3 linked regions of the Drosophila melanogaster genome follow. The protein of the gene in region 2 interacts with the protein of the main gene of each other region in a pairwise test. Each region holds a gene or a part of one and is shown on either strand. Other genes may lie near its edges. The genes, in order: CG9135, CG12607 and bol.

Region 1 (10,929 bases), on a different chromosome or scaffold from region 2:
GCTGCAGTGTGTGAAGCTGTATGTCGCCCGGACTGACGGCCATGGGACCGCCACCGGTGCCCGTGCCGTTCCCGTTCGAGGTGTCGTCCGCCGTGGTGCCCCCACCACAGGCCGCTTGCTGGGCGTTGGGGCAGCCCGTCACAATGACCATGTGGGTCTGGCGTCGCAGGATGGGAATGGGCAGCGGCAGCTCTCCATGGGCAGCTCGAGCCGTTAGCGACAGGGCGCAGAGCTTGCGTCGGACGCCGTAGTGGTTGAGTAGCACACCAATGCCAGGCAACACGAACACGGCGATGGTGTGGAAGATGATGAAGGACATGAACATGGCGTTGGCGCCCAGGTCGGAGGTGCAGCTGATGCTGACCGGGTTTGGCGTGGTGTTCGCCGCCCCACCGCCCTTGACCACCATCGACTTGGCGATGATTTTGTAGGCAAACAGAAAGGGAGTGCTGATGGCGGCAGAGGCGAGCCAGGATAGCAGCGCCAGGGAGACGTGCAAGTAGCGCCGCTGGCGAAGCTGCGCCAATCGCGGATGCTTTACTGTGGCGTAGCGGTCAAGGGAGAGCATGAAAAACGAAATAGTGCTGGCCGAAACGGGCATGACCTGAATAGCGTGGGGTTAACTTAGTTACTTGGCTAACTTAAGCTTGTTTGATTGACCCACTCACCTGTACGTAGTGTATGACCTTGCACAGCACAAGGGGCAGCGATCGCGTCCTCCGGTTCATCGCGAGATTGAGGAGCGTGACCGGAGCGGAGATGCCGGTGACCAGGAGATCGGCAATGCAGACGGCCAGCAGCAGCGGGTTACGCAAACGCACCGAAGAGGCGGAGCAGAGGGTCAGAACGAGCGTGGAGTTGCCCACGACGCCGCCGAAAACCACCAGGCCATAGCTAACAGCGAGCAGGAGCAGCGTCAGCGGGGAAATGGAGTGCTCTGAGTCCACGTCATACGGATTGCCTAGACTAAAGTTGCCATAGTCGTAGTCCGCGGGCAGCTGGTTGGGCTCCTGGAGGGCGAGATGCAGCTCCGCGGAGTCCAGGCCGAGGTCATCGGTGGGCTCTGGATGTTGGCGCCGATACGAGTTCTCCCACCACTGCTGCAGATTGTCCCTGTTCATGCTTTCGATCCCGCGCCAGTATCCCTTGCCGACACCGATGCTCCTGCCAGTTGTTGTGCCTGCACCTGTTCCTGTGCCTGTGCGAGTTGCCGTGTCCTGGTCCGTACTCTGTTTGGGTGATCTTCGATGACGAGGCGCTTGCCTGGTCGCCTCATTTCATACTAAAGGAGCTGCCGTGCGACGGGCGACAAAGGAAGGTAGCAAAGTAACAAAATGCCATCATCATCAGTCTTTTTGTCTGCCAACAAGGACACTACTACCACACAAACACCCACATAACCACCAAGCACAACCACATCCCCGCCCCGTTGACACTGACACTTATGCAATGCTGGCACGAGTACGAATGCGAACAAGGCGCACTTAGAGATTACTGATGCTCTTCCTTCCGGGCGCCACCCACCGCTGCCCACTTCCACCCATCGGCTGCGAAATGAATGGCCACGCAACCTTGCACTTTGTGCACTCGACAAACCGCCACAAGGTCCGCCCTATGCCCTCCAATTCCTGCCAGAATCAGAGACGCTGTTTCTGTGCTCGCCAGGGACGAATGGTTCGAATGTTTTTCGGGGATTTCCCCAATCAACGGAGATTTGGAATGTGGCACTTTGGGGCAACCGAAATCAATTCAATACGGAGCAGCAATTAGTCGCAGATTAAAAGTGTGTGCGGTGTTCATGATAGAGTGCATGGGGTAAGGGTCCTTTGTGGGCTATTCCCATGCGGTGATTCATATCTCTTGCATGGCATGGCAGTAAATTTTGCTTCATTAAAATCGGATGACTGTAGAATTGGGCAGAGCGTTAACGAGATGTTGAAGCCATTTCCGGTTTCATATTAAATTTTTAACTGCCTTGATTTAAGTATCAGTTCGGTAGTATAAACTAGTGGAAATGGAACCCCTTTTCTAGCGACCTCCACTGTCATTCGGTTCAGATGATGGCTGCCACTGACATCGCTGCTCCGCTGACGTTAAGCCCCATCGAGGAAGCATGTCTGGGAAAGTTTTCGCTTAATTGCGCGAGAAAGCCGAACAAACAAGTCCTTGCTCGTCCTTGTTGATATTTAAAGGACAGCACCTGCAGTTGAAGCCCCAAAAACACACTCTTCACCTTTAATGACAACAGACATATTTTGCTATAAACGATACACCGAGAGAAAAGCATCAATCTGCATACACTTGATATATGTATGTTTAAAGAGCATGGTCTTAACTTAACTCGTTTTTTGAACCCTCTTCACATCTGACTCGATGGATTTATGGATTCCTTGAGCATTTCTGTGTTGATCTTTGTTTATATTGAAGTCACGCCCCCACAAAAATAATTCGGTGGTGGAGCAAATCGGGCGGAATAATTTTGCAAGTCACAAATTAGCATATTCGACTGCTGACGCCTTTTTGGATAGACAGGCGGTGATTCTGAAGGCTCTCGACTTGGGGCTACTCTCTTTCTCTACTTTTGCTGGCAAGCGGATTGCGGCGATCCCAGAACTAAACGAATTGTGTATGTATTAATTTGCGTCACTCAAACGTCAGCAACAAGCTCAAAAGGTGACAAAAGCCAGGATGAAAGAGGGTAGGAGCTGGATTATGGGGCACAAGGATGTGCCCGCCAGGAGAGCCAATGAGGTAGGTGAGCGAGAGAAAGCGATGATGACGAGATTTGCCATTGTTGTTGCTGCCGATATGAAAAGTGTCCGCCACAGGTGACTTAATGTGCCACAAGCAGATACGATATACACACAGCCGTGGTTTGGGGGGCGGTAGTCCTGTCTTGGCCGAGGCGCAGGATACACAGCCACATCCACATCCCTGCGCCCTGCCTGCCTTTCTTTTCCTTTGGCTTTAACGTCAGCCAGCCCGTAGCTTTTTGTCTGTCTTTATTGATTTCAGCAGCTTTTATATTCGTATTAGGCGGACGGACGGATGGGTATGGTCGGGGATGCCGGGGGTCCTTGTCCAGGCTTCTTGTTCGTTGGCCTATTCGTGACCGCCACAATGGCCAGCAAACAAGTCTTTGTATCTGCGCGATGAGAAATAATTATACAAGGAATTTATAGTCCTTTTTTTTTAAATGAAATTCCCTCCTTAATTTTAGGCTCCATTTGGTGAATGGATTTCGGGCAGGACACTTTCTAATTAGTTTCGCAGGCGATGGTCGCTGGCAACGCAATCACACACCCACATCCGAAAAAAGGACACCATAACTAGTGGAACAACAGCGAAAAATAATGTTGCACACACGCACACACATACGCTCGCAAACAAACCTATACATGCACACATATATACATGTGCATAAACAAGGATTCCCCCACTGCGTATACGTAATGTCCTACCGTGTTATCCTTAACGAAGTGTGTTGAGGCATTTGTTGCTGATCCTGCTGCTGCTCGATGTTGTTCTGCGGCGCTTTCTTTGTATGGAAGGCACTGTAATTTACAGTTAGATCGTTGCTGTGCCGCCTTTTCAATATATTTAATTTAGCAAATATGTATTTCGTGTGCAGAATGAATCGCCGTACACTTGTAAAAAACGCTTTAAAAACTCCTCGAACTATTTTGTTGATATTGTCAAATGTGCGCGTGTGTGTGTGTGTCTGTGTGCGAGTGTGCGGTCGGTGTTTGTATGTATGAGTGTCGGGTGGGGTGGGGGCGAAAAAAAGGTAAAATGAAACTCAAGGCGCGACGTGCAGGGATTGTTCCTCAGCGGCGCACATTACTCGACAGGACCACGGCGGAAGACTGTGTCAGGGAAAAATCCGCCGGAGCTCCGGCCGCAAAGTCGCACTCCGAAGTCAAGAGTCCTCGCGCGCGAGAGAGCAGAGAGACTCGGCGAGAGAGTGAGAGAGAGAGCTTTGCGCCGGAGCTTTCCGCACTCTGACTTTCGCTTTCAATCGGCAGGACATCAGGACTGAGGACTCAAGGCTGGGACTGGGACTGGGCCTGGGAACTCAGTCGGCACAGGTCAGAAATCGGGGTATACCGCCAAACATCCCTTGGCGGACTGACCTACAGCTACCCCAGTGCGGCTAATCCTTGATTCCAATTTGTTCTTAGATTCGCCGCTCTACAGTCAAACCTCCATAAAGTTTCCTGCTCGATAGGAAATATGTGTGCCAGCTATAAGTAGCTTTAATGTTTACCATTCAGTGAAAAGCCAGTGATAAACGAGTGCAGTCTAAATACTAACATTCTCTTTATTTAAATATTCCTTTGTATAAGATTAAAATGCATGATGTACTATTAATAGTTGCAACTGGTATTGGATTTTTCCATGGTATACTTTTTATATGTAACCTATGCGCTTAGTTCGTTAATTTACGTGTTTTGTAGTTTTGTGGTTGCTTTTGCTCACTCTGTTCGAAATGAATGCAGAATACTGTAACTTGTTACGTTTAAATTACAAATTAAAAATTAAAAATGGGTAATCATGCTTTTTATGCATCTTTTTAAGCCTAAAGGTGGGCGGCAATAAATTATAAAAGGGGAACAGGATCAGGATGGAATAGTATCAGTTACAAGAATAAATTAGAGTTTGGAAACATAATCAACTTTTTTTTTCCGTTTTCTGAGATTATCGTATAGTATGTAGATAGCGAGTTTAGCGTAATAATAATCTTTTAACTTATAGCATACATTTTGCTGGATTTTTGTGTTTAGTTTCACTTTCGATAAGTAGCAGCAGAGTTTCGATGATCAGTTCTGAGAATTTCCTACATGGAGCAGTATTGTTGTTGGCAGCGGTAAACGTGTTTGCAGCAGCACTTGGAAAGCCGCACACCATCTAATCACCTAATCATCGATAGTGTACTCGGGCATCTTCTCGTACTTTTGCTTGGTGGCCTCATGGGTGGTGTCCACAAGCAACACCGTGTGCGAGTAACCCATAGTCACTTGAGGTATTTTAATGTTGTCCAACTTTGGCACCTCCTTGGGCACCGTCGACGACTTCTGGAACTCCCCAATGCCCAGCTCGCCAAACGTGGGCGATGCGCCCCAAGCGATCAGTGTGTCGTCGGCCGAAATCATAATCGATGTATTGGCACAGCCAATGTCGGTAATGTTCCAGCCGGAAAGATCCTGCACTGGCTTGGGGTACATATTTGCCTCGCCCGTCTTCTTATTCTGTCCGAACAAAAACAGCAGGCCCAGCTCGTTGACGATCAGACTGAAAGTGGAGCCGCAAAAGACGCTGCGCCCACCCCGACCCTGAGTATCGAAAAACTTCATTAAACGCGGCACCATTTCGTCCTTGGGCTCTGCGTGTCCGAGACGCCCGAAACCGCCAAAGCCCCAGCTATAAACGCGCTTCTTGGAGTCGATGGCGACCTGAAGAGAAAAATGTAGTTTAGACTTGAAATAAGTGGGGAATGGAGATTATCCACATACCGTGTGATTATTGCCGCAAGCAAAGTCAACTATCTGCACGCCATCGACTGGCGTTACATGACCCTCCTTGCTCTTCTCTATGTACAAAACGACCTTTTTGGGCGACGTCTCGAAATGGAATGACAATTTGTTGGCGTTGACAAAGTACTTGGCGTCAGTATTGTGTCCCAACTGACCGTACTCCGGCAGCCCAAATGTGTGCAGGCTACCTTTAATGTCCAGAATAACAGAGAACTCAGCTCCGCAACCGATGCGAATGATCGGCGGACCTCGGTAGTTAATTGGCGTGGGCGAATAAATGTTAGCATGCGTATTTCCCACACCGCACTGGCCGGACTTGTTTTCGCCGCAGGCGTATACGGTTCCCGTGTCAGTGAGAAACAGAGTGTGGTGCCGGCCGACAGCAGCTTGCACTATGTTCAGCTGTTCGAGGGCCGGAATAATGGTGGGCTTCTCCGCCAACTTGATGTCTTGGCTGAGGCCCAGCTGGCCGCTGGGATTACGCCCGAAACCGAGCGCCTTGCGGTCCATGTTGATAAGAATGGTGTGTGCGGCACTGGGTCCGCTGGCCACATATCGGTACTGCGAAAGAAAAGAACTCAGAAATCAAGTGGACCACGACTGTGCGGAATAGCTTACCTTCTCTTCTGTGAACCGATGGAAGCTGTACAGATTCGGCCGCACCTTCGTGACGTTCTTGCGGTCCCGCTTGCCAGTCAGGTCCCAGGTCACCATGCCGGCGATCAGCATCTGACCTGGAGTCTTCTCTAGCGTGGCCAGCAAGTCCTCGGGAAGCTTGCTAGGCGGGTCGAGGTCGTCGTGGGGAATGAGAACCTCCATCTGGTTGGCGGCCGCTGCCTGCTGCTGCACGCCATCGTCGTCGGACTCGTCGCTGAACTCGTCCTCGTAGTCCGACTCCTTCTTTTTGGGTCGCCGCTTGTTGGGTCCGGCTCCATTGCCACCTGCCTTTCGCTTGGCCGACATTTTCTCGCTAGTACTGGGTTGTATTGTGGACTGGACTGGTCTGGATCTCTCTGCTCGGCGGCTGGAAGGGAGCAATGTAGAAGATAAGTTCAAGCCCTGAAAACCGGAACCAAACTTCACACGCAGCAGAGCGTAGCGCGCACTGTGTTTATGTTTTAATCTTCATGAACTGCTGAATACGTGAAATCGAAGTAGGAAGGGTCGTAATATTAAATTTAAAAACACGTTACGTTTTTACGTTATGTATTTCTATATTTGGAAATAGTGTTTCAAAATATCAACTAAACATAATTTTCAAAACGGTAATTCCGGTTTTCATGAGCTCAGCTTCGCATAAACGGTCCAAAACCAAGCCGCTCTCGGCCGCTTGGTGGTGTGTGTTTGCTGTGCTCGCGTCTGTGTGACCCTGTGTTTGTGTGGTGGTTTTTGCACAGAAACAAAATGAAAGCCGCAGCAAGCGACGCCAACAGATATAGTGAATATTCCTAGCCTTTGATAAATGAGTTCTTGATACCCGAAAAACTACGCATTGTGTTCATAGTTTTGGCTTTCAAACTAAAAAAGTCCATGCCGAAGTTACAGAAAAGACAATGCCCGGCGCAAAATTCACCTTTAAAATGGTAGCGTCACTTTACAAACACAGAGACATTTCACGGCTTCAACGAATCAAATAAGTTTGCTGACTTCTTGCAGTCTTTTAACCATTTCGGGTTGTGTTCTTTTACTCAAATATATTTATCTAGCGGGTGAACTTACAGTTCTGTGTGCGGCTTAATTACTTTTCACAGCTAAATTACAAACAACAACGCTAGGTTACAGAGCTGGAACATGTATCGATGGCTGCTCGCGATTATCGATGTTTCCACAAAGCAACCAACGTCGATGTTTTTGTTTTCTTAGCAGTTATCGATTATTTTCGCCGTTCACACTGGGTTTTGTGTCTATCGAATTTTTAAAAAATATTATGTTCTAAATAACAATTAATATGTGGTCTATTCATTTGGACAAAAAAAGTTTTGTTCTTTCATATGTAGAACTTTGTCATCCAAAAATTAGGTTTCTTTAAGTTATCCATTTGAGTAATCCCAACATTATGTTTAACTTTAAAACCAACTTAGTCCTTCAATTCTAACAAATAACCTAAAAAACCCAATTATTAGTATGCCCACATAACTGAGTGCGCCATGATCGCCGAAATTTGTTATATCTAAAGTTTTGTTTATTGAAACAAACATGTATGGAAATTAAGCATAGTTCATTTGAAACGTATTTGATTTAGCACAAAACGGGTAATACATTGGCTTTTTGTCGGAGCAGCCCACTCCTACATCACAACTGGATGAGCGGCTGACCCTGGCGCTCGCGGTAAGCGGACACATCCGGCATCAGTTCCCTGCGAAAGCGCTCGTGGTTGCGTGCGAACTCCTCCAGTGCTTTGACCTGGCGACGCTGGCGCTCAGCACCGTTGACGGTGCTGTGATTATTGTTGGCCGCTCCCGGATCCCGGACATCGGGATAGAAGACGCTGTTCGCGATGGCAGGAGCGGGCGTGGGACGGCGCTGGGCCCTGGGCGTTCCGCTGGGGCTTCCGTTTCCGTTTGCGTCTGCAAGTAGAAAGTGCCTGTAGCCTGGCTTTGGGAATATGCAACAGATTTTGCAGAGAATGTCGCTTAGTGGCATTCCGCTGACTAAATTAGATCGGCTCTGGGTAAATGGCAACGATAAGCTGGCAATCGAAGTTCGGATTATACTGAGAGCACTCTGCTCTTATCTCTAGCTTCTACTAACGGTAGACTCACATTGTATTGGGACAAACAAACAGCTGGCTTTGGGGCCGAAAAATGCCGTATGATTGTATTTAGGCAAAGTTGTAGTTCTGCGGTTATCTATTGGCCAAGTTTCCCACTTAAAATTAGCTTTTAAAACTCAAAGCCCCGAACATGGTGATTCATTTCGTCTTTCAATTTGGTCACTTCCGTTCAGTTAATTTTTGCATTACTATACCCACAGCATTGTACATCCATTTTAAGAGTACGTGTTCATACCTTGCTTGCTCATTAGCTTCTCCTGCTGCAGGCGCGCGTTGCTCGATCCGAAGTATCCGTTGATAAATGGCAGGGGCGACATGACTACTCCGCCCCTCAGCGAACTGTCTGGTGGAGGAGGAGCGGGTCTGTTGAATGGATTTGTCCGCCTGGGCGGCGGTCTAGGCTTCGCACTCTCCGATGCATTTTGTGGTCCGTCCAAGGCGCTGCCGAGCATCTCTGTAGGTTAAAGAACGCAGCGGATTAGTGCACAGGGATTGTAGGATTAGCCATTGTGCAGTCTCACTGTTTCTTGCGTCCTCCATCTCTTGCAACTGGCGTTTTAGCTCGGCCAGGATGATGCGCTTATACTCGTAGCCGGCGCATGTTAGCGCCTTCATCCACGTCTCCATGCTGTCTTGGTTTTCGGCGGCGAGGATGTAGGTGCGATTGCCGTTGAAGGCGATCTCGAAGCAGTAGTTGTCCACCTCGTTAGACAGCTCAATGGTGCAGCCCTCGACAATGATGAGGCCCAAGGGCTCCTTGTCCAAGCGCGACTCGAAGTAGAAGAGCAGGTTGCCTTTCAGCACGAAGTAGCGTCGCTGGAAGGCCTTGTTGACCTCGCCCCGTTTGTTGAGGAAGCCTGCAAGGCGTATCGGTGTGTGATAAATGGATTATGATTATTAATAGACGAGCGAAAGGGCTCGCTTGCATACCTTCCATGTCGAAGGGCGGCGTTCTCGCGAACACGTACAGGTTCTTCTCGTTGATCTTCATGGCTGCACTGTCTCGGGCTGCATTCGAAGCAAATATGGGTGTCCTATTTCCGCCTTTCGTCTCTTATTATTGTGATGAACAGGTAAAAAAAATGCAAAGCGAGAAACAATTGACGCTGCGCGAACAGCTGATGGCCAGTGCTGCCACACCTCCACCGGTTATCGATTGCTGGGTGCGGAATTTCTAGTTTTCAATGTAGATTGCAAACATAAACGAATTTTGAATCCTGCGAAATGTCGTACTTACTCACGGAAATCGCGCTGGAGATGCTGGGCTACAAGTTCTACGACACCAATGGCACATTCCACCTGACCAATTTTCAAAACAACTCCACGCTCAGCGAAACGCATCCCGATGAGCCCTCCCTGCAGGAATTCATTGAGTACACAAATGAGGAGCTGAAGCAAGACGCGCAACAGCAGGAGCCGCACACGCTGGCGGTGCAGGAGGAGTCGTACCTGGATGCCCCCACCATACCCGAGTCACGCTATGCGCGGCGCACGCCGGCCAAGGCGCTGGCCAAGATAATGGACTACGAGAGCGAGAAGATAGTCAACCAGATCAGCACTCGTCTGGAGGGCTCGGTGTCACGTCGGGCGGCGGCGGACAGTGACGAGCAGCTGGCCGAGATCATCAACGAGGAGAGGAAACTAATCGAGGCGGATGCCGAGGTAATACACAACTTTCGGGAGCTCGTGGAGAGCCGACTACAGCGATTGGATAAACGGCCCTACGAGAAATACGTACGTACCTTCGGGCCGCAATAGGAAGCTGCACGTGCAATGTCAAAGTGCCGCCATTACTTTTAGAATTAATTTAGTTTATAAATTTAATAAATAAGTTACCGCTACAGGGTGCCTGCGGCACTTTCATTTTCTCTTACTGCGCCAGTGTGACCACCCTAGCCCATGCACTGGCCAGCGATAGCCCCATCTATCGGAGCCACTGTCATCTCTAGCAGCACAGCACGAGTAAAGGTCAGCTCTCGTAACTTGTCTCGGAAATATTCAATAATTCCGAGATTGCCGTCAAAATTCGAGTCGTGTACTTCAGCTAACGCTCCCCCTGTTTAATTCCGTTCCGTCTGCCCCCGCAGGCTCAGCTCAGCCCGCATCTCGGCTGCCAATTAAGGATATAAAGCCCTCCCCGGACGGTGACGACAACGGCGCTTGCATAATGAAAATCTGGACATCGGAGCACATATTCAACCACCCGTGGGAGACGGTCACGCAGGCGGCGTGGCGCAAGTACCCCAATCCGATGACGCCCTCCATCATTGGCACGGACGTGGTCGAGCGCCGTGTGGTGGACGGCGTCCTGCACACGCATCGCCTGGTGCAGTCCAAGTGGTACTTCCCCAAGTGGACGCACGCGCTGATCGGCACGGCCAAAACTTGTTTCGCCAGCGAACGCTCCACGGTGGACCCGGAGCGCAAACAGATGGTGCTGAAGACAAACAACCTCACCTTCTGCCGCAACATCAGCGTGGACGAGGTGCTCTACTATGAGCCGCATCCGTCGGATGCCAGCAAGACGCTGCTCAAGCAGGAGGCCACCGTGACCGTCTTTGGTGTGCCGCTGTCCCACTACATGGAGGACCTGCTCACCTCGACCATTAGCACAAATGCCGG
Region 2 (9,473 bases):
CTTTTTTCATGCGGTATGTATTAATTGCACTGACTTCTTTTAAACAGCCGAAAACGTATTGTTTGCGTAATAAAAATTAGTTGAGGTATCACTTAGACATATATATTTATATAAAGTTGCTTATTAAAATATACAGGATATGTTGGGCTAGTGCATTATGGTTTTAGCGAAATCAATTTTTCAAATTTTTTTTTAAAGTCTACTTAATTAGTGTAGCCTAATTGACGCCCTAGCCTCAATCTTTTCTAGGTCCACTATATTTTCGATGCTCTGCATCATCAGGTATACGTCGTCCACTCCCTCCATTACTATAGGAGGTGGTTTGGACTGCGCCTTTTTGGCTGAGCTAGTGGTACCAGCGGAGGCTGCATCCCGCTTAGCGGCAGCAATTGCAGCTTGATGACTGGTACTGGGCTGGTCATACAGATCGCCAATTTCATTGCCTACTTGTTTGTCAGCTGTGAGATGCGCAAGTAAACCAAATCGGTTTGAATTGCCGCCATATCTAGGTTCTGTAGCCGAAGGGTTTTCCCCTTGTTTGCCGATGGTTGATTTGGGTTTTTTCCTTTCAGTCTCCGGAGAAGCACGAGACTTTCGCTTTATTTTTTGAAAGCGCTGCGGGGCAGCACATTGGGGGCTCGAGAGAAACGCAGTATCCAACGATTCATCAGCCGCAGCGGTTTCATTTAAAGTGTTCATATTGAAGTGTGCACCAAATCACCAGGGTTCTAGCCAAAACTTGAACCCTGGGATAGAAAGCTTTAAGCTCGCAAACAGCTGTTTGTGCGATCGCGTGGCAGCTGGGCAGCGGAGCCCCAGTTCGAGAAACTTAACTTTGTATTTTTGAATGAAAATGTTTTCGTTTCACTATTATTTCACTGTTAGTGACTTGGGGGGTCACTATTTGCTATGTGTGCCAGTATTCTGGTCTTGTCCATAAGTTTATTACCGCGAAAACTAATTTCACTTAATCCACTTTGTCAGGTGCGTATTGTTAGACACGAACCTTTTTGTATCGCTGTGAAAGTGAAATTAATGCGATCAGGAAGTTAAACATTATTTTTTCGGTGCTGCCATCAATGGAGAAGATGCCCGTGGAATGTTTGTTGACAAAATGAATTGCTCTTATGCAAATCAACTTCATGATCTAATGGCTGGGAACCAGTTTTCCCTTATAGCCACCCGCTTCTTTCTGTCAGCAAATGCAAATTAATAAGATTATTACGTTTATCTTTGGCTGAACGCCCAACAATGATTTACTTAAGAGTTTTATCTACGGTTGTTGCTCTTAGTAGCGCCGTTTAAATAAACATGGCCCATAAATTATCTGTCAAATCATTGATTTTAGAAAGCAAAACCGAAAAACTGATGACCCCACTCGAACAGGCGGTCTAGCCTGTTTCTTATTCGCCACTAATGAAACCAACTATTTGTTTCCTTATTTTTTGGCACGATCATTTTGCTGATGCATTTGAGACGAAATGCTAATTGAAAGTTAGCTTATATCGGATCATTCTAGACGTGGACGTGGATCATAACTACATTAATATTTCGGGTTTGATTGTGCATACTTTGCGTATGATGAATATAATGCTGGCAATTATGTTCGAGCAGTCAATTAACAATATAAAATAAAATTGAAATAAATCCATCAACACGAACAGAAAAAATAAATCAAATGTAATTTAAAATGGCTATTAAATCTGACCTACACGATATTCAGATTACAAAACCATTAATAAAACTAATTTGCCTTTTTTCATGCGGTATGTATTAATTGCACTGACTTCTTTTAAACAGCCGAAAACGTATTGTTTGCGTAATAAAAATTAGTTGAGGTATCACTTAGACATATATATTTATATAAAGTTGCTTATTAAAATATACAGGATATGTTGGGCTAGTGCATTATGGTTTTAGCGAAATCAATTTTTCAAATTTTTTTTTAAAGTCTACTTAATTAGTGTAGCCTATTTTTCGTCAAAATATCTAAACGCAACTTAATTTGCAATGCTGCCCCATTGTATGCTTTTAAACATGAGAGTATAACAGTTTTGATTTTTAGCAGTTATGAGAAGAAAATCCTTTAGCAATTAAACACATAAAGCGTTCAACAATGCTGGTTGTGAGAAAAGTGCTGTAATGTTATTATAAATTAAAAAACAAGGTCCGGTTACAAATTACTACTTTAAAATCAAGTTGCAATATGGGTGTGTAAGTCCGTGTAATCAACATTCAGTCATTAGGCCACAACGATCTATTAATGCCAATTGACCAGGGAATAAATAAAAATCCCAGCCAAGACGGAAGCACCTCCGATGATGAATTTCCCGCCTGTCACCACTGCCATCCATACAAAGGAGTAGAGTGGAGTGAAGTGGAATGGAATGGATGGATCAAGACCCAGTTTGTCATAGTTCACTGACAAAAGTGACTGTTAATGCCCCTGAATAGAAGCTGAGGCAAGGCAATCAAATTGACAATCAATCCATCAATCAATAGTACATTGTCTCAAAAGCTGACCACCCGGACAGACTATGGCTTTTAAATCGGATTGTTTACACTTCTGATTTGACTATGTGGCCAGTGGTCGTTTGTGTGTATTTTTGGGACAACTTGGCAGGTTCAGAAGATGTCTAAACCGGTTAAACTTAATGTATTTTGAAAGTAATCTAGTAGATTTATGTATTTCTATTTGTTTAAGCTGCGGCTAGTTTCGGTTTACGACCCGTCAAGAGTCGTGCAAGAAGCTGCATAAATAATTCTCCCTAATTAGCCGAATAAGACGCACCACTTAAGCCCAGTGTAGTCTTAATGAGTGCCAACACCACGCAACACAGAAATTGTTTCCCAGCCACTTGTTAATAAGTCGACCCCAAGTGCTCAGATACGCAGCTTCCGTATGCAAATGTCCATATTAGATGGCAAGTACATTTTCCTCATGGCAATCCATGATTAATGAGGAACCAGCAACGATGATGCCGATGGGGGGTACTCATCAAATCGAGAACGAATCTTTGTACAATTTCGACACACTTTATTGTGCTTTGATGAGCTGTGAATAATATAATTAAAACCTGATACTCTTCCCCCGTTTTTTCCGACCAGTTTGATTGGCCTTGGTAGATGAATGAAATAGTTGAACCAAAAATTTGTTTATCATTTTTACAAATAATTTACGTTTATTTATTCGTACTTTACTGGGCAATTCAACAATAACTGAATACTTCGTTTTTCGATCTTTGTCTTTAGAACATCATTTGTCTCTTTGTACTTCGCTCTTTATGCTTTTGATCTTGACTTCTTCTTGTTGGTCGTTTCTTTGATGGTTTCGTTCTAGGATTAGGATAGTTATAATACGATATTTTGATAGTTGGACAGTTTGATAGTGTGGATCAGTGCGTGATAATGTGTGTGTTGATTTGGATAATTGTTAATGCTTGATACGGTTTGGGTTTTGATTTTGATTGGTTTTTGAGTTGAAGATTGGTGCGTAGAGAGTTGATTCAGGCAGGTGAGGAGTGGAGGAGAAGGAAGAGAAACGACAAAATAGGAGGAATTACTGGGGTTGTCGAGCACGTATTAAATATAGTTAAGATCTAGCTGCGTCCTCTTAGTAGCGGCGCAGGCGATAGAAACGTCTTACATAGACTGGACGGCGGTACTGGTATCCAGCCCTGCTGTTGTAGGTGTGTCCCACCAGCTGCTGTTGCGGCAACACCACCTGCTGAGCCACCGGCGCCACGTACTGAGCCCTCTGGACAATCTGCTGCTGGACGGGCTGCTGGACGAAGGATTGGGCCACAACCACGGGGCGAGCCACTGGATGAGCAACTGGCCGAGCGATGGGAGCAGGGGCGGCGAAGACGGGACGGGGAGCAGCGGCCACAGGACGAGGAGCAGGTGCGGCAGCCACCGGTGCAGGTTCGTCGATATCAATGTACTCCGGCTCCGGGGTGGCAATATCCTGAGGATTGGGTCCCTGGGTGGCGGAGTCAGGAAGCTGAGCTCCAGCAGCAATGCCCACAAGGGCCAAAGCCAATAGCAAAAAGAATTTCTGCAAAAAAAAAAGGAGAATATTTACCATCAATTCTGCTACCTAGTTCTTTGCTTGAATGACTATGTCCTTAACTGCAATAAGTCTAAGACTTATAACAATTTGAGGGACACAACTTTTTATATTATCATCCCATATGGATGACCTCAGTTTAAGTCAAAATCTGCTATATACAAATTAACAGATATTTCAAAAACTGCCAGTGAGTGAGATTGTTATTTTAAGAACATTCTGAAGCATAATCATGTGCGTGGCTTCGGCACGGGTGTGAAGTGAATCAAGTCCCGAGGAGCACTAGAAACGGGACAGCGCGTTGATGAAGTCGTTTAGAGCACTTGAGTCCGGGTTGGTTGGCACTTGTGGTGAGAGTTATTTTTGGGTTTCTAATTTGAATAGTTCTATATCACGTTTCACTTGGTCTTTTGTTTTTCGTTTTTATCCTGGTTAAAACAGCAGCATATCACTAAAATTCGTTGTCCTTGTTGCAAGGATCACATACCATTTTTGTTTGTTTTGGTTTTGGGGTTTCACGAAATTTTCTCGAGCAGAAGCAAACGAGCAATTTACACTTAAGAAGTTCAAAGCACAAATGATGATGAGCTGGTCAGTGGGTATGAAATTTATACTATATCGCCCGTTCAGTCCGTCCGGTTCGGTTCAGTTCGCTACGTGGGTCTAAGAGAGTCTGGGCAGAGCGACGGCGACCGCCAAAAACCAAAACCCGATGAGACACAAACCGCACACCGCGTTATAAATAAGGCAAAAACAAAATCTTAACAGCAGAAGCGGCAACGTTCAGCACCAAAAGCAACAACGGCAGCAGAGGCAATTCAAATCAAAATTTAAATTAAATGAAACGAATCGAATTGAGAAGAATCGGCGACTAGAAGAGGATGCTGGAGATGCCGACGGGCTGTGAGATGCTGCCGGGACCCTTTGGACAATCACTTAAATGTCGTCACGAGTCATGACGCACAAATAAAAAGGCCCACAATATTAGAGATCTACACTGTTCAAAAGGTGGCGAAATAAATGTTAATAAGAGGGCTATGTGATTTTTGGCTATGTTCGTTGCCTAAGTCTTTTGTTTTGAAAATATCGAATACAATTTCTTTAAGCAAATGTGACATTTACAGGAAATCGGATTCGAAAGATTTCATTCACACAATTACTCTTTAACTAATGTTCGTGTCTTAAGTCTTTTGATTTTCAAGAACAGGAAATAAAATTTTCATTTAAATCAAATAAAATTCCCCTTACTCAATTTTTATCAGTGTATGTACTCTGATTTTAACGCCGTTTGTCTCTTCACAGCGCGTGCCTCAATTAAAGTTTGTTTCCTAAGTCTTTCATTTTGTCTCCTGCTTGAAGTAATTTGCATAATTTTTTATTAGAATAATATTTTCATATTGAAGTGGCTCTATTCCAGTATGCTAAAATCTTGCCAGAGTTTATCCAAGGGAAAGATTAGTCATCGAAGTGATAGCCCAAGCTTGGATACAAGCGTACTGATTATGTTTTCAATAAGACAAAACTTGACTTCACCATGTCAATTTGTAGATTGCTTGCCCATCTGCCAGCCGACCTGGTAGCCCCCTCTTTCATTCATTGGTTTGACTGCTGGCATGATTGTTTGTATCTTCACTTGACCTTAGTGGCAACAATAAGCAAATTTAACGGCTTTTGGTCATACATCATTTCCGTTTCTCATGTGTGTGTGTGGGGAAATACATTCACCTGCCACCGTCAAGTGAATGAATCCACTTGAGCCATAGATGCAGTGCCAATAAAAATGATTTGTTTGATATCAAGGCCGTCCTGAAAAGATTAAGTGGCTCTAAGACAGGAAATTGTTAAGCCATTTTCGACGCAGATACCAACGGGCTTTGTAAAGATGTTACCATGAATATAACTATGGCTATAAGCCCACTTTAAAATGGTTCTGACCCCATCGTGTGACATCATTTTTGCTGCCTTTCACTTGCATTGATTGATGGAATATTTGTCAACGGCCAGAGATGAAACATACAAGTTTTATGCAGCATTTTTCATAATCTACCCAAAATAATAAACACCAAACAACAATTTATCGTGTGTTTTTACGGTTATTAGAAAATTTAAAATGTAATTAATAATGCTTTGGTCCGCTGGCATCTTAGGTTTCAAATTCATAAATTTGATCTCCCGCGAAACTTTCATTATTGACTGCTTATGCCATTTGCGGCCATTGTCTATTGAGTCAGCGATTTGACTTGCAAAATGTGTCATTTGCGTCTAAAAAGCATCGTTCTACCTATGGTTATAAGTCTATACATTCGTAAATCAATGACAAGGGCGGGGCAGATTTATGCGACCAACAATCGATTTCGATATAGTGCAGCTGTCTGCTTCGTGATAACATTTATATTAACGGACTCTTGACTCTTATTTATGTTAATGCCAATATAAAATAAATATCCCCGTAAAATATGTTTTTGATCTTTCCATCATCGTGTCTTGTGTGTACGGAAACAAGGTGACTACTTTTGCCCAATTTGCATACAGGAACCAGATATCGCACCAAGTGAATCAAAAGCCCTGAGCCGCCATAGAAGTTTTTTTTTTTTGGCTAAATGCCGGTAATCGAAGATTCTTGAAATTTATTACCTTATGCCTGCCCATAGCCAGAATCCAGTCAATTTCACGTGCCTCTCTAAATTCGTTTTGTTTTGCTCTAAACGTTCATACATATTAAGCATGCGACCTGTTGTGCGACCGGGGTTAAATACAACACAGATTTCATAGGCGATCGATTTCTGGTTGGGTGTGTTTACAAGCGATTTTAGTCACCTGATAAGGATTCCAAAGTCAGCCCCGTGCTTTTTGAATATTTCTTTTATAGCCGCAGTTGCTGCCAAGAGATTTGGTTTGGGGTAAGACACGCCTCGTTTTCTGGTCACCAGCTGTGTTTAGCATTTGAATATGCGCGTGTGAATAAACAGAAAATAAAACATTTTTAACGGTCGTTTATGTCTTGACATCTTTCTTAGTAAAATGAGCTAGTTTAAAAGCGAAGACATTGTGTGGCGTTGTAATACAATTTTATTTTGACCTTGTCCAAGCGAAGATTCTCAAGCCATTCTACCTTTCCCGTGTTTTTATTTTATCACGTTTCTAGACACAATGCTTCGTAAATAGTAGTATGTGGAATTCTTTATTTAACAAAGCTTCCGCACATTCACCACGACGTCTACCAGCGGCAATATGAATATTCAATATTTTACGCAAAAAATTATAACAAACAACAACTGAAGCATGGCAAATATATCATGTTGAAAAGACAATTGAAAACTTTTGCATACTCTTGTCAAGAAATATATACAAACATAATAAACAGTGATGGACAAAGTTTAGTTACCCGTTCGTAGGGTAGTAATGATGATCTAGGCCCAGAAATATTTATTGCAACACCTCAAAATATTTGGGGTACTTGAAAGATTTATAACCGCCTCAATAAATTGTCTTAAAATAGCTTATAAATCCTAATGCTTAGCCTCGTTTCCGCCTCTGCATTTGAGTGAACAAATGTTTTCTACCAATTAACGTCGATCAATCACTTGACCTACAGTTAGTCTGTCTTTGATTCCAAAATCGAAGAACTCTCTGGAATGGCATATAACTTGCCTGTTTTGCAGGTGTTTCGACATGTTTAATGTTTAACCGGCCAGGGCAGATTGCCAGTCGTCGTAGACCGACGGTCTGGGACACGCGCACAGTGAAAGCTGCCGAAGAAGAACGTTAACATTTAATGGGAAGCATAAATTAATTATTGAAATTAGTCAGAATCGACATAAAATAAAAGCCAAATGGTCACGAGAATCGAAAGACGATTTGCGAATGAGAATGGCCACAAAGAGCTTCATCTAATCATTGTTTAACTTAATAATAAGTTTTTTATTATATACCCCTATAATTTGTTTCGCAACAACAGCAAACAATGAAATCGATGCCGCCGAAGGGGGAAAAAAAGCATCAGCGATATCTCGACGTCGGTGGCTGTGAACATTGCCAATTTAGCCACTTTGGCACCTTTTTGGCCGGCTCGTGCTGCAAACTCAGACATGTGAACTAGCATATTGAACTTTGAAGCTCATGCAAGCGTAGTGGCCAATTTGTATAATTAAATCGACTAATTGTCACAAAATGTTCAATTTTGCTACATACTGCAGCCCAACTCGAACTATTATGGATACCTTTCTTGTCAAATATATAATTATTAGTATATTAGTAGTAGTATTAAAGTACAATTATTATTTATTAGTTAGTTAAAGAACAATCAAATGACCTGGGTTTGTTTTATTAAAATAAATATAAACCAAATTATGCTAATGAGGATTCAATTTGGTCTGCATATGGAACTGCTTGGCTATAACTCAAGAATTAAGGTCAGATTCAACATTTCATTAGTAGAGCGTAAATATGGCAATCCAGATAAGCAAAAATCGAACATAAAACAGACATATATGGATATATACACTTCCCCAATGGACATACCCAAGAATACCCTGCGATTGTGCTGTAATCGACTGGCAGTGAACTTGAATTTTGAGTAATTGCACCCAATAAAACTGGCACTAAGCTTAAAAGGCTAATGTGATAGTTCGAAACGATCGATGTGATCTAGTTCTGTGACAAACCCACCCTGACACGAAGTCCAGCAACCAGTTATAGCTCGGCAAAAACCCAAAGAGAGGTGATCGATTTAAATGTTTATAACTATAAGTTTAAGCCATTCTAGCCAATTTGCACAAATGCAAATGCTGATTATTATGATCGTATTTGAGAGTGAGACGATAGCTTAATGGCTATTAGAAGAACCCGTTTTGCGGTTCTTTTTTTCGGCTTCGAATGATTATTTCCATGCGGCACATGGCGTGGATGATGATGATGATAAAGGTTCTTCTTGGCCGCCGCTCTGTCTGCCGAGTTGTGTAAAGTTCTGGCATCTGTATCTGCTGTGAGTCAACGGATCATCTGGCCATCTGTATCCATCAGGCACAAAAGGCATTTGAATGTGTGTTGTGTTTTTGATGATTTGACTAACTGCTATGACATTGTTTCAAATCGGATGCCGTTTGCTGCGCTTTGTGTGTGTAAGGCCAAGGTTGAAATTTGTAAAGAGATTGTAAACAGTGGATTAACTGCTATGCGTCGTGTTGCCTTTTCAATCGGATTCGGTTTTTATCTTTGTTGACTCTGCATTTGCATTTCTTAGCCAGCCTTTGGAGATCCATTGTGGCGATCGATGTTGCTGCTGTTTTGACATCCATTATGGATTGGTTTGACAAGTGCTGTCAGTGCTCAAGACAACGACCCACATGACTGAATGGCCCAGACTAGACATATATTTTTGCCGTTAATTGCTTCACGCTGGCCA
Region 3 (10,710 bases), 4.7 Mb from region 2:
GTTCAAGAGGTTATCCACCCAAATCGTGTAAGCAGAACCACATTAAACGATCGAAAGCCGCCCAGCGATTTATTTATGAATAGTTTATGTACAAGCGAAAGCGTTTAGATTATGGTTTTTGAGCATTTTTGTTTCATCATTAAGTGTCATTTGGATTCGTATCTGTATCTCTTAGCCTATTCGGCAGCGATAAGCTGCGTAATGCCGTTTGTGGTGATCAGCTGCAACAGGGATCCAGTTTTGGGCCTCTCCTGATCTTGGGTCCACTTAAGGAAAAGTCCGGCCACCTCGGTGAGCGGTGTCCAGGTTCCAAAATCTGCATCCGGCATCCATTTACGGTTCATGGGTGTATCTAGAGTTACGGGAAGTATGGACACAGCCAGGGAACCAGCTGGCAGACCGGATTTCTCAGCGCCCAGCGAGCGGGTCAGCTGGTGGACAGCTGCCTTGGCCATTCCATAGCCGATCATACCGGGTGTGCCCTCCAAAGCGGGCTTAGCTCCAGTGAGAGCCAGCAAGCCTCCGGCCTTTAGATGCTGAGCAGCCACAGCTGCCGAAATGGCGGAGGTCAACACGCTCTGCTTCCACATGAGATCGGCATTCTTGGCCAGATCCTTCTTGGCATTACCACCTGCCCAGCCGCCAGCCACGCAGATGACGGCATCCAGTTTCTCGCCGGCAAGGGATTCCCCGACTTTGGACACCACCGTTTCCTCCTGTTCCACCCAACTAGCATCGCGTGGCACCACAATGCTAACGTCGGCCTTCTCGTTCTCCGTCAGATCGATGCTGCCAACCCACTGATGGATTATCCAGGTGAAGGTCGTAGTTGACGCGAGGGAAAACAATAGATAATGAGGCAATTGTATTTAATAATTAAGTGAAAGGTAACTCACATAATTGTTGGCTTTAAAGTGATCGACACAGGCCGAACCCAAGGCTCCTTTGCCACCGTAAATAACCACTCGACCTGCGGACATGATGCGTGCTGCCAGTTTTAAAGTTGCAATTTAACTAAATGCGAGAAAAACACGAGAACACCGATTTTGGTGAGTCAAAATCGTGCGGGAGCTTTGAACGCAGCTGGGGTTTTTAACCGCAAGACCAGTTCTACCGGTAATAATCGGGAGAATGAATTTCAAGTCGAGTTTAAGCTTCAGCGTGCAGATATAGCTTTTTATTCGCTACAAAAAGATACAGCAGCAGCAACAAGTGGAAAATCAATAAGATGACCAGAAAACGCACAGCAAGGTCACACTGTCGTGAGTAAGGCGTTATTTGGTATTTTTTTTTTTTGGTATTCCACAGCTGTTCGCCGCCAACTTTACCCGTCTCGCTCACGCATTGCTCGCTGCTCTTTTTTGAAAAGGGAAATGCGTGAAATTCGTGCGCCGCATTTCCACCAGACCAGAGTTACGCGCCGTAGCTGTGTTTTCCACTCAGTCCCACCAGTCGTCGTCGCGTTACGTCATGGACACTCTAAAATATGAGCCACTTTCGAACTACAATGTAGTTCAGGCAAATAGTGAACACAGAAATAAAACTGTCTTATCTCAATTAAAGAAAAATTTCCCCGAATTGTTTAAATCACAATTAGAAAATATATGCAGCGAATATATAGATATATTTGCATTAGAATCAGAACCTATAACAGTTAATAATTTGTATAAACAACAGTTGAGATTAAAAGATGATGAGCCAGTATACACGAAAAATTATAGAAGTCCTCATAGTCAAGTGGAAGAAATACAAGCCCAAGTTCAGAAATTAATAAAAGATAAAATAGTTGAACCATCAGTTTCACAGTACAATAGCCCTTTGCTATTAGTACCCAAAAAGTCAAGCCCGAATTCTGATAAAAAGAAATGGAGATTAGTAATAGACTATCGCCAAATTAATAAGAAACTTTTAGCTGACAAATTTCCACTACCGAGAATAGATGATATTTTGGACCAACTTGGTCGAGCAAAATATTTCTCCTGCCTTGATTTAATGTCAGGTTTTCATCAAATCGAACTGGATGAAGGCTCGAGAGATATAACATCTTTCTCAACCAGCAATGGCTCATATCGTTTCACGCGATTGCCATTTGGCTTAAAAATAGCGCCTAATTCATTCCAAAGAATGATGACTATAGCATTCTCCGGAATAGAACCGTCTCAAGCATTCCTTTATATGGATGACTTAATAGTCATAGGTTGTTCCGAAAAACATATGCTTAAAAACCTCACTGAAGTTTTTGGTAAATGCAGGGAATACAACCTAAAGTTACATCCTGAAAAATGTTCATTTTTCATGCATGAAGTCACATTTTTGGGACACAAATGCACAGACAAAGGAATTTTGCCGGATGACAAAAAATATGATGTCATTCAGAACTACCCAGTTCCACATGATGCGGACAGCGCTAGACGTTTTGTAGCATTTTGCAATTACTACAGACGTTTTATCAAAAATTTCGCCGACTATTCGCGGCACATAACAAGATTATGTAAAAAGAATGTTCCATTCGAGTGGACAGATGAATGTCAAAAAGCATTCATACATTTAAAATCTCAGCTAATTAACCCAACACTCTTGCAGTACCCAGACTTCAGCAAAGAATTTTGCATAACAACAGATGCAAGCAAGCAAGCGTGTGGCGCAGTTTTAACTCAAAACCATAATGGCCACCAACTCCCAGTTGCTTATGCATCCAGAGCTTTTACGAAAGGTGAAAGCAATAAGAGTACAACAGAACAAGAGTTAGCAGCAATTCATTGGGCAATAATACATTTCAGACCATACATTTACGGAAAACATTTCACTGTGAAAACAGACCATAGACCATTGACATATTTATTCTCGATGGTGAACCCCAGCTCTAAATTAACTAGAATAAGGCTTGAACTAGAGGAATATAATTTTACAGTAGAGTATCTAAAGGGCAAGGACAATCATGTAGCAGATGCGTTATCAAGAATAACCATCAAAGAGCTAAAAGATATAACTGGAAATATATTAAAAGTCACTACAAGATTTCAAAGTAGACAAAAATCCTGCGCAGGAAAAGAACAATTGGATTTGCAAAAGCAAACCAAAGAAATAGCTTCAGAGCCCAACGTATACGAAGTCATAACAAATGACGAGGTACGAAAAGTAGTGACATTGCAATTGAATGACTCGATATGTTTATTTAAACATGGAAAGAAAATTATTGCAAGATATGATGTTGGTGATCTTTATACTAATGGAATTCTTGATTTAGATCAATTTCTCCAAAGGCTTGAATTGCAGGCCGGTATATATGATATCAGCCAAATCAAAATGGCACCGTGGAAAAAAATCTTTGAACACGTTTCAATAGATAAATTTAAAAATATGGGCAATAAAATATTAAAGAATTTAAAAGTAGCGCTACTTAACCCGGTGACCCAAATAAATAATGAAAAAGAAAAAGAAGCTATATTGTCTACATTACATGATGATCCAATACAAGGAGGGCATACAGGCATTACAAAAACCTTGGCCAAGGTCAAAAGACATTATTACTGGAAAAATATGAGTAAATACATAAAAGAGTACGTAAGAAAATGTCAAAAATGCCAAAAAGCAAAAACAACAAAGCACACAAAGACTCCAATGACGATAACTGAAACACCAGAACATGCTTTCGATAGAGTTGTTGTGGACACAATTGGTCCACTACCCAAGTCAGAAAATGGTAACGAGTACGCAGTCACTCTCATATGTGATTTAACCAAGTACTTAGTTGCCATACCAATAGCAAATAAAAGCGCAAAAACAGTCGCAAAAGCTATATTTGAATCTTTTATTCTAAAGTACGGTCCAATGAAGACGTTCATAACGGACATGGGAACAGAGTATAAGAATTCAATAATTACTGACCTGTGTAAATATTTGAAAATAAAAAATATAACATCAACAGCTCATCACCACCAGACAGTTGGAGTAGTAGAAAGAAGTCATAGAACTTTAAACGAGTATATACGATCCTACATATCGACGGACAAAACCGATTGGGACGTATGGCTTCAATATTTCGTATACTGCTTCAACACGACCCAATCTATGGTACATAATTATTGTCCATATGAATTAGTTTTCGGTAGAACAAGTAATTTACCAAAACATTTTAATAAACTACATAGCATAGAACCAATATATAACATAGATGATTACGCTAAGGAGAGTAAATATAGGTTAGAGGTAGCATATGCTCGAGCAAGAAAACTTCTTGAAGCACACAAAGAAAAAAATAAAGAAAATTATGACTTAAAAATAAAAGACATAGAATTAGAAGTAGGAGATAAAGTTTTACTAAGAAATGAGGTAGGTCATAAATTAGACTTTAAATATACGGGGCCCTATAAGATAGAAAGCATAGGAGATAATAACAATATTACGCTACTTACTAATAAAAACAAAAAACAAATAGTTCATAAAGATAGATTAAAGAAATTTCATTCATGATTGAATTTAAACTTATATTTTCCTTAATCATTTATACAAATTTTCCATACACTACGTATATTTTTATCTTTGCATTATAAAATCAACTATTGTTGTTCAAACAAAAACACAAACAAAATAAAAATAAAAATAAAATAATTTGCATTTAATAATCAAAATAACTTCACTAGGTTACGTTATTTTTCAAAAGGAGGGAGATGTAGTATGTGCCTATGCAATATTAAGAACAATTAAATAAAATAGCATATTAACTTATGGCAGCACTTTGTTGCTATGTTTATGTTTATGCACGCAGTTAGGCCAGGGCGGATGTAACATGATCACCCACTCGAAGGCCACAAAGTATAAGTGCATTGCCCACTCGAAGGCAAAAAGTATAAGTGCATGGTCAGCATTCACACGCCGACCAAATACATATTACATACGTACATACATATCTCGCTCTCCCGATAAGCCTAGATATATAAGATATACATAAGAACGCCGCTCCGCTGCTGGCGTACCCGGCAGCGCAGCTACGCGGATTAGCCTAAGTCAAAATATATAAAAAACTGTAAAATCGGAGAGACTCTGTAGACGTTGAGCTGACAGAACCATTTCTGCCTACTCTAAAATCAAAAGAAGAAATTGAATAAATATATGTCAGCCCGACGGCTGCCTTCAACTTAAAACGGACTTGTGTTCTTAATTGGAGTTCATCATTACACGAGAGCAGTTGTAGAACTAAAATTGTTGTGCTATATCGCTAAACGGTGAACGGTAAATATTGAAGAGAGTTTTCCTGGCTTCAATTTTCCTTTGCAATCGCCCCCACCATCCTTGGAATTTTGGGTTTTTTGGAAGAGAAAAACACATGTGGTGTGTCGCCACAGTGTTTTGGTTTTTCTCGGCCGCCCAAGTAGACGGCGCGTAGTTTTTCATTTTGACGGGAGTTTTCCTTTCGGTCGTCGCCTTACACTCATTTCTAATTGTGATTCGTAGGAAGTAAGTTGTCTAGTGCTATATATATATATATTCAAGTAAAATTGTTTTAAATCGGAACACACAACAATAATATATACAAGTAAACACCACTAAATATCGGAAAAGAAAGAAGAGCAAATAATTAAATTACAAAAGAAACCAAGAGAATATCAAGCTAAATCCCATCATCCCATCATCCCATCGTTTTTGGTCTTCTGGTTCTTGTTCATCACCGACGTTATTGATATTGATATTGAATACTGGATATTAAGATACATATATACAAACGCATCGTATCTGGGATAAACGTTCATCACAAGGAATATTAATGATACGCAAAGGCTGTAACTGTAAACTGTGTCCCCTCTCACGTAAGACGTAACGTAAGGCAGCCTGTGGAAACGACGTAGTTTGGACGCAATCAGAAAAATCTCCAAGGAGGACGCAGCTAACGGTGAGTTTTCCTGATGACAGAACAGGGGATTGCTTTTGGGTGGGGGGAGGATGAATGTCACTCGCAGGGAAAATGAAAAATGCCAGGCGAAAATTCTTGGCCATGCAACTCGTTTGGCCGCTCTGCCTCTTTCGCTCCCGCGTACGCTTATGTGTGTGTTTATGCAGCGGAAAACGTGTATTCTTGAGAAAAACCAGAAAATCGAAACCCGGAATTGGGTCAGTATGTCACACGCCGTCCCGCTCCCACCGATTCCAATTCCGATTCCGATTCGAGCTGCTAGTCTGGCTAAAAACTCTGGCTAAAACGTGTTTCGTGCTTAGTCAATTTGTTCTTTTTCATCTAGTCGCAGCTGCGCTGCCGCAGTTGGCGTCGCTGCACGGCCACTTGACTAAAAGCGGCCTAAACAGCATCGCCTCCAGAATGCCTAAAAAACAAAACAACAACATGTAGTGCCGCTGCACGTGTGCGAAAGAGAGGGCGGCGAAAGGTGGGAAAAAGACAGAATGTCTGTCACCCGCGCGACCAACTTAAATACCCTGTACTTATGTGAGGGAATATTGTAGAACAGCTTATTAGTATAGATTCTACACAATAAAACCGTTTAATCATATCACGAAATATTGATAATTAGTACATACAAAACATATGTGGTTTTGTCAGCATAACAAATAATATTATAATAATATAAGGTCAATACATGAGATTTTTAGGCCCTAATATAATTTTCCTAGAGGCAGAACTGCTTTTTTATTTATTATTAATTGCTAGATTCTTTTATACAAAGATAGTTACTTTTTAACTTACACATGTATGTACATATGTATGTGAATGTACATATATGTATATGCTGAGTATCTCCTATTCGCCAGCTTATCTTTTGTGATGTAAAATGATAAATGGCTCGCTCTCCGACTTTCGTAGTTTTGCCTCTCTCTAGTTTTTCGGCCACTCGCTTCACTTGATCTTGCACTCGGATTTCGGCCGAGTTGCAGTCGACAGCGCTGTCAGCGTCGACGGCGACTGCGGCGGCGGCGCTTTTACCTTGAGCACGCCTGCACTTGTCACAGCCCCTCCCCCCGCCCACCGACTCACACGCCGTTTGAATTTGAACTTCTGAAAAAGCCAACACCTTTCGAAATTGTAGCCGCTTTTATTTCTTTTTCTTTTGCCTCCGAGCAGCGGCATTTTTATATTTCTGATGTTTGCTAATAAAATTATTACGACTTGGCCGACAGCGGCTGCTAATGCGTTTTAAGGTCGCCGACGCTGCTCTTGTTGATTTTGATCCAATAAAAAAATGTGATGATGCCCCGCTTAGATTTCTCGGTCCATTTAACATGTGTCCATTGGCCCAGGATCCGATTTGATTTATTTCAAAGTTATTTATTATACAGTCAGGCGAAAAGCAAAACAAACATGAATGGGGAAAATTGAAGGCAAATGGCAGACAGCTGGTGCTCATTTTCCGGGATGCGAAAAAGGGATAGAATTGGGATAGTGCACTGAGAAAAATCAGTGAAAGAGTTCATATCATATCATACTGCATATGTTTGCATCTCAAGAATCTCTTTGTATGAGTAGAGATCAAATGGATAAGGAAACAGCTTTCGTTCATGAGATGTCTATCTCTAAAAACTACTTATAGGTGGAAATTTATTCTAGACAAGGGTAGAGAGCACTGCAAATACGTATCCAAAAACAACTCCCCAGATAATTCATCATTACATCATAACCGTTGCGAATTCATGACTAATGGCCGATGATTTTTCTCTCTGTGGGGAATACGCGACGTCGTGGGATAGGGATAACAACACGGAAGAGGCTCCATTATAGGTTGCTGGTTTACTAGTTAACTGGGCTCCAGCCAAGGGAGCGAAAGGGAAAGGTGACGAACGAGAGGGAGAGAGCGAGAGAGCTAGGGGGAATCTGAATTACAGAGAGTGGGCGGGGGTGGTGACACTGACAGTGGAGCACCTTCGTCATCGTCAAACATTCGGGCTGTATAAGAGCAATAAATAATGCACACGAAGAGCAGTGATGAGAGCCAATGATATGGGAAAATATCGGACGAGAAATTCGACAGAGAGAGAGAGAGAGAGAGAAAGCGGAGAGAAATTTGGGGGGCGAGCGTAAGAGATTCGCCTTGGGGGGTTGATTGTGTTTAATTTTTGCACTTAAGAGCGCAAAAAGTGGCTTTGATTTTCCGCCGGCCCTTCTCACGCAGCTTGGGGCATGCCAACTTTGATGGCCGATTTGACCAACCCCCAGGAGGGAATTCCCAACTTGGCTCATTAAATTGATAACATTAAGCAGGCGATATTTAATTTGATTTTCTCCAGACACAAACACAATCTGATACACAAATTGTATAGATTCTATAAGTTATAGTTTTCTGAAGATTTAAACTTAAAACAAAATTACTGTACTGTTTTCATAGTGTAAAATACCTATGCTAATTTTAGTTTTCGTGGCACTTTTAAATATTATACATAAGCATGATAATTTGTCAAAGTTTCTTGTAGTGCATATATTTTTCGCAGAGAGCATCCACTCAAAAATATTTCCGTATTCTTGGCAACATTGTTGTTGGCGATGGGTTAGTGGGCGGAAAAGTGGGTGTTGCGTGGGCAGTCGCCCCACATTTGCATGTTCCCAACACGGCACACATTTTCTCGCTTCTCTGCGCCGCTCACGCGTCTCTCTCTCTCTCGCTCTCTCTTGCCATTTTTCTCGCTCTCTGGACGGATGCCCAAGTATATAGCCCAAAGTCCCAAATTGGGATAGGGATGCGAAGGCTATAGCGCTAACCTATATAATTTTTTGTGTTCCGCTTCTAACAACAAGCACATCCTCTGGTGGTGCTCCAACCAAAAAAGGAAGGAAATCAAAACCTCTGGCAGTTGAAGGTTCTTTTTTCCTACACACTTTTTTAAAGCAGTTGCTGATTTTAATATATATTTTTCCACGTTTGTGGGGGCAGAGCAGCAGCGTTTTTTTTTTTTTTTTGCATTGCTTCTGGCTTTGAATTTAATGTTAAGTATACGCATCAGTGAACTCAATTTAATTATCATGATTGTTTCGTCCGCTGCCTGTCTTTGCTTTCGCTCTGCTTTGCCGTTGATGAAATTCAAATTTTCCAACTTCACAAACAGACGCTTCTCGCAATTTTCCAACGTGTTTTCCGCTGTTTTTTTTTTGTCCAGCTTATGTAAGTGAAGCGCTGAGAGCTGATAAAAATGAAATGAAAAAAAATTACCTAGCTAGCGGACGGACGGGACTGGCTGGCCATAATTACGAGCTTTAGATTCGCTCGCCCTTCGCCCATTTTTTATCAGTGGCGTTATTTATGCGTCCTCCCACAATGACAAAGTTTCACGGAGTGGTTGATAGTGTGGGTGGGGGGGCAGTGGTGGTGGTGGTGGGGGGTGCGCCTTTGATAGACAACAATTGAGCATTTGAAGTGCAGCGTAGCGCAAAGAGAGCTCAAAAGTGGAAAATATGTGGAAAAACAAAACTGAACTAAACTGAACTGACTGACTGCTATTCTCGTCGCAGCCGAAAACCCAAACGAAAAGCAATTAAGTTGCCTCGGATCATTGCACAATAAGTAAAGAATCAAAAAGCTCGAAACATAACTGTGTTTGCTGCCCGTCCAGCCAAAACCGTTGACGTCGCTGCCAACTTCGCAGTCGCTGCCGACGCTGCACACTGCTTTCGGCCCATATGAATAACAATAGGGCCAGTTGGCTGGTCGGCCAGAACCCAACGAATTCGGTTAATTAGTATTATAACTAGAAGCCCCCCAAAAAATAGGTGTTGCTCACCACGCCTCATTGGCCTGGATTTTAAACAAAACCAGTCAGATTAGCACAAAGCAGATGCGAACAAAACGCAGTTTTATGAATTAAATTACTTTATTTAAGATTTTAACGATTAATTACAAGCGTAATTTAATTTAATTTAAGGTAAACATGGACAAGATACGAATTTTATTTCGATTTAATTTCCAGATCAGTTTTTTTTTTACTAATTAATATATATTCTTTTATATGAGATATGCTTGGAAATCAACAGAAATGTACTTTGTTTCCAGTTGGAATTATAGCCACAGGCATTTCCAATTGTCATTTGCCGAAGCAAAGGCACAGTGCCAATCAGATAATCGCAACCTTAACCGTTATTAGATCACTGTACAGCTGCGTCGCAGTCGTCGTCTCTTTCTAGGGCGACAACAACTCTAATCGGAACGGGAGATTATGTGATTGAGAGAGAGAGTGGGTTGTTATTGGCGGTGGGCGGTTGTGGGCGGTGGGTGGTGTGTTTAATAAATAGGCCAAATATGTAATATTGCTAAAATGTGTTTATTGTAATCTTTTCACACACACACACACACAACTACACAAACTTAAAACAACGCACGTGCATCGTTGCATCCCTTGGATTTCGCTCAAAGAGAGCAAGCGCGCGGCAACAAAGAGCGCCAGAGAGAGTGGAGCGAACTGTGCTGCCGCAGTCGCTGCCGCTGTCGACGTCGACTGCGCAGTTGGGGGCCCCCAAATCGGGAAACTATATTCGTTCGACGCTGAGTCGTTGTTCTACCGTCGTTGAGATTGCAACACTTCTCGATTTCGGGTTTTCGGAATTATAAAAAATAACAGAAATCCGCCGTTGCCGCCGCTCTCCGCTTATTTTCGGCCAAAATACACAACTCTCGCGTCGCACGTAAAGTAAAAAAAAAGAGTTCTACATTTTATAACGCTGTGTGCATGTGTGTGTGTGCGTGTGCCAGTTTTTCATGCGTTTTCTGCCGCTGCAAC

Evidence for each region.
Region 1: the proteins of CG12607 (region 2) and CG9135 interact in a two-hybrid assay, tested with the Drosophila melanogaster proteins (one large-scale study listed by BioGRID).
Region 3: the proteins of CG12607 (region 2) and bol interact in a two-hybrid assay, tested with the Drosophila melanogaster proteins (one large-scale study listed by BioGRID).

What each region holds. Positions count from the first base shown.
Region 1 is NT_033779.5:6,047,246-6,058,174, reverse strand, and holds CG9135 (uncharacterized protein), read right to left. Parts: upstream 7,337-10,929; 5' UTR 7,254-7,336; exon of another isoform or gene 7,108-7,253; intron 6,559-7,107; 5' UTR 6,498-6,558; coding exon 6,153-6,497; intron 6,096-6,152; coding exon 5,514-6,095; intron 5,454-5,513; coding exon 4,917-5,453; 3' UTR 4,298-4,916; downstream 1-4,297. Other genes in the region: CG13995 (uncharacterized protein), read right to left, coding at 1-604, 669-1,121; IPIP (inositol phosphatase interacting protein), read right to left, coding at 7,827-8,101, 8,543-8,761, 8,829-9,164, 9,238-9,298; CG34179 (uncharacterized protein), read left to right, coding at 9,532-10,041, 10,395-10,436; slmo (slowmo), read left to right, coding at 10,475-10,929.
Region 2 is NT_037436.4:4,441,761-4,451,233, reverse strand, and holds CG12607 (uncharacterized protein), read right to left. Parts: upstream 4,662-9,473; 5' UTR 4,560-4,661; coding exon 4,557-4,559; intron 4,058-4,556; coding exon 3,647-4,057; coding exon of another isoform or gene 3,614-3,646; exon of another isoform or gene 3,440-3,613; coding exon of another isoform or gene 3,434-3,439; exon of another isoform or gene 3,337-3,433; coding exon 3,283-3,336; 3' UTR 3,162-3,282; downstream 1-3,161.
Region 3 is NT_037436.4:9,125,077-9,135,786, reverse strand, and holds the start of bol (boule), read left to right. Parts: upstream 1-5,431; 5' UTR 5,432-5,890; intron 5,891-10,473; exon of another isoform or gene 10,474-10,620; intron 10,621-10,710. Other genes in the region: Dhpr (dihydropteridine reductase), read right to left, coding at 177-800, 897-980. UniProt on the Drosophila melanogaster protein: RNA-binding protein that plays a central role in spermatogenesis. Required for meiotic entry and germline differentiation, at the transition between G2 and M phases of meiosis I.